2 linked regions of the Coturnix japonica genome follow. The protein of the gene in region 1 interacts with the protein of each later gene in a biochemical or structural test. Links are inferred from orthologs where the notes say so. Each region holds a gene or a part of one and is shown on either strand. Other genes may lie near its edges. The genes, in order: CARD9 and TRIM62.

Region 1 (2,993 bases):
TAAGTCCAAGCAGACCAGAAGATTCAAATTATTTTGCATTGCTTCTAATCTCTCTCTTATGAGAGAATGTGCAAAAATAAGTATTATCCTGAGAACATGCGTAGAAAAGAGGGTTTTGGTTTTTTCCAGCTTAGTTCATAACTGTGGTAGGGGTTGTCACATTGTCTGGAGACAAAATGAATGAGCCCATAGTCATGGAGGATAAGTCTGTGTGTAGATACACAGCTTCTAGTTCAGAATGTTTCCTGTTTTGCTTACAGCAAGATGCAGTGGGGGAAGGTCGGTTATATGCCTGTGTCCTGTGTTCCTGCATTTGTTCCTAGCTATTGTCTGAGAAAGAATATGGAGTACTTCTCATGATCTTAATTTGTTTGTGTCCCAATAGCTTACTCTTCATGCTCACCTAGATGAAGATACACACCTGACTGAAAGTAAGGTTTCTACTGGGGAAAACATACAGCATGGTTCTTGATGGGGTTTCCCAGTGTTCAGAGGGACAGGAACAGACACTTTTAGTGCAGAAGAGGAATCCACTGACTGAGGGTTTGGTCATTTGGGTGAAATAGGAGCAGGGTATGAGAGTTCGTGGAATTAAATGAGACATTTGAGCACTGCCTTCTGAATTGGGCCAGCCAAAATCACCTGGTACACAATGCCTTCAAAAAGCAGCTCCTGGATGCCTCTTCTTCACACAGTCCTCTCGTGTTTGTGGCTGAGCTGAGAATGGAACAAGCATCCTTCCACTCCAGCTCAACCACATGTCTTTCCCCAGAGACATTTCTTTCCTCTCTCTTATGTTGCAGGCTATTTTCACAAAAGCAGAACCATGTAATTAACACTGTCCCTGGTTCAGTTCTTGTGGCAGCCCCAGTGGAAATGATTCAGCAGCACAGAGAAGAGCAAACAGGGTCCTTTAAAGCTTGAGATTCTCCTTTGAAACATGTTCCAAAAGGAAGGAATCAAGCAGAGATCCTCACCTGAAAGAATTAAGCAATCATTCTCTGAGATGGGAGACTTTTCACAGCAGCTGCCACACTGAAACAAAGCCTTTTCTTACCCTACCTCAGCCAAATCAGAATGACATATCACAGTATCTGATCACTGCATTAGGAGTTGAGCTAAAATACGATCTGTTGAGTATCTGAATGTGCACATCTTCCCTGTGGCCCAACACCAACAAACTGTGATTCATGTTTAGTGGGATTTCTTCTTGTTATCTCCATCATTATTCTTTCAGTGACATTAGGCAGAGGTGCTGCTCTGCACTGGTTCATTTTGCTTCTCCACAAGCAGAAATTAGACAGATGGTGTCTGGTGATCCTATGGGGAATTCCATCCAGTCTAAACAAGACTCAGAGGTCACGCAGAATGAGCAGGGTCTTGTGCAATGGTCACAAGATTGAATACTGAATGTTTCAAGGCCTGGGTTTGGCTTGCTGTGGATGCTGTATACTGCTGGGCAGCTCTTACATGACAGCTATTGCCGTGTGATGAACTGGTGGAAGGAGAAGTTACTTCAACATGGCAGCTGTGACTGAGATTGTGATTTGCTTTTCTGTTTTCTCTCAGAAGAATGCTGCAAAGGCGAAAACCAGCAGTTCAGCAATGGAGAAAGCAATCTGCCTGCAGAGTTGCCCACTGTAAGAGCCCACAATGATTCTCTTTGGTCTGAATGGGGTTTGTAATTACTCATGTGCTTGTTAACAATGGATTTATCACAGAATGACCAGGGTTGGAAGGGACCTCAAGGATCACGTAGTTCCAACCCCCCTGCCTAGCAGGGCCACCAAACACACACATTTACTAGATTTAGCAGGCTTCAGGCCCAAGCAGATGCAATGCAGGCTCTACACACATCCCAGGGGCTGGGCTATGGTAGCAACCAGCTCTTCTTAATCATTTTAAGGCACAAGTTTCCATTTTCTCCTCTTAATTTCTTGGAAATAGATTCAGGGCTGCAAACAAACCCAAGATGGGCTCATCATGTAGAGCACCTCAGCCTTGAAGGGCTCCATCTTTACACAGCAGCCGTGTCTAGTGTGATAATAACATTGATCCAAGGCTTTAGAGCAACTTGCTTTGAGGTTTAGAGCAACTTTGCCTTGTTCCATTCCAGTTCGAGGAGTGCAGCTCTGCCCACGAGGAGCTGTCTGAGAAGGAGAGGAGGAGGATGAAGGATTGCTTTGAGCGTTACCGCAGGTCGGGCCCCATTTCCATCCCATTCCCATCCCATTTCCATCCTATTTCCACCCCGTTCCCGTCCCGTTCCCGTCCCTATCCCACACTCGGTTCCATAGGCCTCACTTCCATTCGGTCCCGTTACCAGGAAGCGCGCCCTCCGCAGAGCCCCCGCAGGCCGCCGCCATGAAGCCGACTGGGAGCCCAGCACCGGCAGCGACAACACGGACACGGAGGGCAGCTAGAGCTGGGCCGAACGTCCCGTTACCGGCCCCGTCAATAAACACTGAGCGCTCACAGCGGTGCCGTTACCGTCGGGATGGGGGAGGCGGCCTATGTGGGGCCGACCGCGCAGCCTCAGCGCCGCCTCTTGTGCGCCTGCGCGGCCGCCATGTTGAGGCGCTTGGTGCGGGTGGCAGCGCGGGCCGCGCTCGGCTCCTCAGCGCCTCCACAGCGGCGGCCATTGCCCCGCAGTGTGTGCACCGCACCGCCGGGCAGCGTGGGGCGGCTGCAGCCATCGCATTACCGCCTGGTGTACACCTGCAAGGTGCGGGGATGGGGAGGGGAGCGTCTCCGACGGTCGGTGTTGTGTTGCTAACCCGTGCCTTGCAGGTGTGCCGGCGCCGCTCGGCTCAGAACATCTCCCGCTTGGCCTACAGCCGAGGAGTCGTCATCGTTACGTGCCCAGGGTGTCACAACCATCATATAATCGCTGATAACCTGGGCTGGTTCTCCGACCTGCAGGGCAAGAGGTGCGTGTGTGTGTGGGGGGTGTGTCACATCATCGGCACATCGCCCTTTAAATACGAGGTTTT
Region 2 (4,600 bases), on another chromosome or scaffold:
TCTGTGTCCTCATGGGCTCGTGTCTGCATTGCTCACGTTTCCCTATCCGGACCCTATGAATAACACTAAACAAAACACTCAAAAAGCCCCAAACTCAGACCCTTAAATTTACCCTAACCCTAAAACTAAGTCTAACCTGAACTCTAACACAGTCTAACACAACCCTAACCCCAACCCTCACTCTAGCTGTAACCCTAACCCTAACTGTAACCCTAACCTGAAAGTAAACCCTAACCAACCTGATCAGCTCTATCCCTAACCAGTCCTGACCCATACTCTAACACTTAACCCATTGCTAAGGGGGAAAACTGAGTCATGGGAAGATAGAGGACAGGGGAAGTGTGGGACACCCAAGTCCAGCCCCAAACCCACAGTGCTGCTGCTGGGTCCAGCCCACACCAGTCAGTGCAAATTGGGGTTTGGGTTAAAGATGGGGTTGGGATTCAGGTTGAGGAGGTGGAGTGAGTGTTGGGTTTGAGGGATGGGGTTAGGGTTGGGCTTAAGGTAAGGATTGGGGTTTGGGTTAGGGTGAGGGGTTGGATTTGGCTTGGATTTAGGGTCAGGATTAGGGTTGAGTTTGGGGTAAGGACTGGGGTTGGTATCACAGCACAGGGGCTGAGGATTGGGGTAGGGCTGAAGTTAGGATAAGAGCTTGGCTTCAGGTTGGGGTTAGGATTGAGATCTGAATAACTGGGTTTGGGTTGGGGTAGAGTTGGGGCTCACGTTGGGGTTGAGGTTGGGGTTATGTGTGTTGTTGTTGATGATGATGATGATGATGATGATGCCAGCCGTGCCGTGCCGCCCCTTCCCCGCTCAGCTGGCGTTCTGACGATTGAATTCCAACTTTCCCCGGTCCCCAGCAGGTCCTGGCAGGGCGAGCAGCCCCGCATTCCTCCGGCAGAAACACGGGCAGAAATAACAAACCCCCGTTGGTCGGGGCTTATTTTCCCCCCTCCTTTTCCAGCCTTCGGGGCCGTCCTCCTGCCTGGGCAGGAACAAAGCGGGCGGTCATTCCCTGCGTGGGGTGGGGGCGGGGGGGCTGAGCGCTGCCATGTTTGCGTTGGCTCCCAGCCAGCCGTGGGGCTGCGTGCTGCCCCCAAACGTCCCCATCCTTCCTCCTGCACAGGGTGGGGGGCACAGGACGGGGAACCCACCCCCAACTCTTCCCATTGTGCCTCCGTGGGGGTCTCTGTCATTGTCTGGGGACGGTGAATTGGGGGCTGTCGCTGTGTTTAGGGGTGATGCTCAACTTGGGGGGGGGGGGGATGTTTTGGTGTAAGATCGGAGCTGCATTGGGGACATTGGTTCTGCTCGGGGGCAGGGCTGGATTTGGAGGCGATGCAGAACTTGGTGCCAGTGTTGGATTTGGAAACACCGCTTCGGGTTGGGGGCAATAGTGAACTTGGGGACAACGCTGAATGCGAGGACAATGCTGAACTGGGGCTCAGCACTGAATGTGTGTGTGTGCAGGGTGATCCCTGTGCTGTTAGATGCCGCCCTACATCCCCATCACTGTGTGTGCCCGCCCCCCCCGCGCCCCTTGTCAGAGATAACAACACGGTCCAGATGGAGGCGGGATGTGGCGCGGCCCCTTTAAGGCCCCCCCCGCCGTGTGGTGGTACGCGCCGCAGGGCCGCGCCGCGCGGGGGACAATGGGGCGGGGCGGTACCACTGTGTGCGCGGGGCGGGGGGAGGCAGGAAGTGCGGCCTGGCCCCGCCCCCCGCTCCTCGCCCACCCCCCGCCCGGCGCGGCGGGGCGCGGTGTGTGCGGCGGCGGCGGGGCCGCTTCCCCGGGCACGGCAACGGGCAGAGGCGGCGGCGGCGGGTGAGGCCTCGAACCCGGGTCCCGAGCGCGGCGGGGCGCGGAGCTGCGGGCGGGATTCGAACCCGTGTCCGTCGGGAGCGGCCTCAGCGCCGGGTGCCCCCGCTGCAGCCCCGCGGGTAGCGGCAGCTCCGGGCCTGCGCCGCAGCACGAGTCCTCCCTATGGCCCGACCCCAGCCCACCCATTGCATCCCGACCCCCAGCAGCACCAACCCCGTACCGCCCTGCTGCCCACCTTCACTGCCCCCACCATCACCCCCATATCACCCTGACCCACGCCCCCACTTATCATCTCGACCCCCAGCATCTCTAATACCAACCAGAGTCCCCAGCTATATCCTCCTCATCCCCAGCATCACCCACATCTACTTCAGCCCCCCCATATCCCCTGACACCCAGTCCCCCTATTACATCCTTCCCCATAGCCCCCTCGTATCACCTTGACCCCCCACCCCCTTACCAACCTGACCCCCATATTACAGCCTCGCCTCATTACAGCCCCGCTGCAGCCCCCCATTCTCATCCTGTCCCCTTTTCCCGCACTCTCACCCCTTCATCCCCCCCTATTTTGCAGCCCAGCCGTCCCACTGCAGCCCCAGCCATGGCCTGCAGCCTGAAGGATGAGCTGCTGTGCTCCATCTGCCTCAGCATCTACCAGGACCCGGTGAGCTTCGGCTGTGAGCACTACTTCTGCCGTCGCTGCATCACGGAGCACTGGGTGCGCCAGGAGCCTCAGGGCACCCGTGACTGCCCCGAGTGCCGCCGCACCTTCACAGAGCCCACGTTGGCCCCCAGCCTGAAACTGGCCAACATCGTGGAGCGCTACAGCGCCTTCCCCCTGGATGCCATCCTGGGGGCTCAGCGCAGCCCCTTCCCCTGCAAGGACCATGAGAAGGTGAAGCTCTTCTGCCTCACCGACCGCACCGTTGTCTGCTTCTTCTGCGATGAGCCGGCTGTGCACGAGCAGCACCAGGTCACCAATGTGGATGATGCCTTCGATGAGCTGCAGGTGGGCATCTGTCTGTCTGTTTGTCCCTGAACTTCCATCCCCCCCTCACTCCCGGGGTTGTGGTGTCTGTGGGATGTTCTGTTCATCCAGCTGTGTGCACCGTGCAGCACAGTGTCCATCTGTCCACATTCAGGACAGCCAGAGCTCCCTCTGCCTGTTTGCACGTGGCTCTGGGGTGCTGCTGCCCATGCAATCCCCTTGTCTATCCCAACAAGCGGAGTGCGATCCTCTGTCTATCTGTCCATCCGCACTGTGTGGTCACCCACCCACCCACCCATTTGTCTGTTCCTCCATCTGTGTGTGGCTCTGCTGGGCTGCTCCCTGGGGATCCCCAAGCAACCCCAAGACAGACCCTCTCCTGCCCCACACCGGACCCCACCTCCCACAATAGCACCAAGTCTCATCCCCAGACTTGCTGTGCCAGGGCAGCTTTGTGCCATGGACTGACCCTCTTGGGCTCCGATCACCACAGTGTCAGCTTAGACTCACGATAGATATCTATGGGTCTGCCTCACAGCTCTCCCAGCACTTCAGTGTCGTGCTGCTGGTGGCTGGGAGCACAGCCTGAACGTGGGGCAGGCACAAAGCTATGCACTTTCCCCACACCCCCGTGGAACATTGCTGCTGTGGGGTGGGGAAATGGGCAGTGCAGCGAGGCCGGGGCTGAGCACGGGGTCAGAGCACTCTGTGTTGCAGCGGGAGCTGAAGGAGCAGCTGCAGGGTCTGCAGGAGAGCGAGCGAGGCCACACCGAGGCTCTGCACCTCCTCAAGAGGCAGCTGGCTGACACCAAGGTAGGAGCAAGGCTGAATCCCTCCCCGTGTCCCCTCCCCGTGCGCTCTGCCAGGATGCTGATGGTCCCGCTGTGGCCTGGCCCTGCCCCACACCTCCTCAGTCCTCAGCCAAAAGCCTGAGGGCCACCATCGCGGAGGCCTTCGAGCGGCTGCACCGTCTGCTGCGGGAACGGCAGAAGGCGATGCTGGAGGAGCTGGAGGCCGACACAGCGCGGACGCTGACCGACATCGAGCAGAAGATCCAGCGCTACAGCCAGCAGCTGCGCAAGGTGCAGGAGGGCAGCCAGATCCTGCAGGAGCGTCTGGCTGAGGCCGACAAACATGCCTTCCTGGCTGGTGTTGCATCTCTGTCTGAGAGGTGGGTGGGCGCAGAGGGGCTGGGGGCTGCCCGTGGAGCTCTGTGCCCATCGCTGCCCGTCCTGCAGGTTGAAGGGGAAGATCCATGAGACCAACCTGACCTACGAGGACTTCCCCACCTCCAAGTACATGGGGCCGCTGCAGTACACCATCTGGAAGTCGCTCTTCCAGGACATCCACCCCGGTAAGCATGAGACTGGCAGGGAGGCGGGAGGGGGACGTGGTGCCCCCTGTGCTGGGGTTACTGACACCCACCCTTCTGCAGTGCCCGCTGCATTGACGCTGGACCCCGGCACGGCCCACCAGCGCCTCATCCTCTCTGACGACTGCACCATCGTGGCCTACGGCAACCTGCACCCGCAGCCGCTGCAGGACTCGCCGCGCCGCTTTGACGTGGAGGTGTCGGTGCTGGGCACGCAGGCGTTCGGCGGCGGAGTGCACTACTGGGAGGTGGTGGTGTCCGAGAAGACGCAGTGGATGATCGGGTTGGCACACGAGGCCGTCACCCGCAAGGGCAGCATCCAGATCCAGCCCAGTCGGGGCTTCTACTGCATCGTCATGCACGACGGGAACCAATACAGCGCCTGCACCGAGCCCTGGACGCGGCTCAACGTCAAGAG

What was found.
Region 2: of the proteins of CARD9 (region 1) and TRIM62, one has a biochemical effect on the other in vitro, tested with the Homo sapiens proteins (4 studies listed by BioGRID, with this or other methods). The link is inferred for Coturnix japonica from reciprocal best matches to the Homo sapiens genes CARD9 and TRIM62.

Annotation. Positions count from the first base shown.
Region 1 is NC_029532.1:6,407,624-6,410,616, forward strand, and holds the end of CARD9 (caspase recruitment domain-containing protein 9), read left to right. Parts: intron 1-119; exon of another isoform or gene 120-385; coding exon 386-431; exon of another isoform or gene 432-1,569; coding exon 1,570-1,640; exon of another isoform or gene 1,641-2,116; coding exon 2,117-2,199; intron 2,200-2,304; exon of another isoform or gene 2,305-2,326; coding exon 2,327-2,423; 3' UTR 2,424-2,475; downstream 2,476-2,993. Other genes in the region: DNLZ (DNL-type zinc finger protein), read left to right, coding at 2,498-2,725, 2,791-2,930. UniProt on the Homo sapiens protein: Adapter protein that plays a key role in innate immune response against fungi by forming signaling complexes downstream of C-type lectin receptors.
Region 2 is NC_029536.1:5,670,683-5,675,282, forward strand, and holds the start of TRIM62 (E3 ubiquitin-protein ligase TRIM62), read left to right. Parts: upstream 1-1,744; 5' UTR 1,745-1,825; intron 1,826-2,396; 5' UTR 2,397-2,423; coding exon 2,424-2,831; intron 2,832-3,527; coding exon 3,528-3,623; intron 3,624-3,724; coding exon 3,725-3,981; intron 3,982-4,048; coding exon 4,049-4,164; intron 4,165-4,245; coding exon 4,246-4,600. UniProt on the Homo sapiens protein: E3 ubiquitin ligase that plays a role in antifungal immunity by mediating 'Lys-27'-linked ubiquitination of CARD9 downstream of C-type lectin receptors; leading to CARD9 activation, followed by activation of NF-kappa-B and MAP kinase p38 pathways.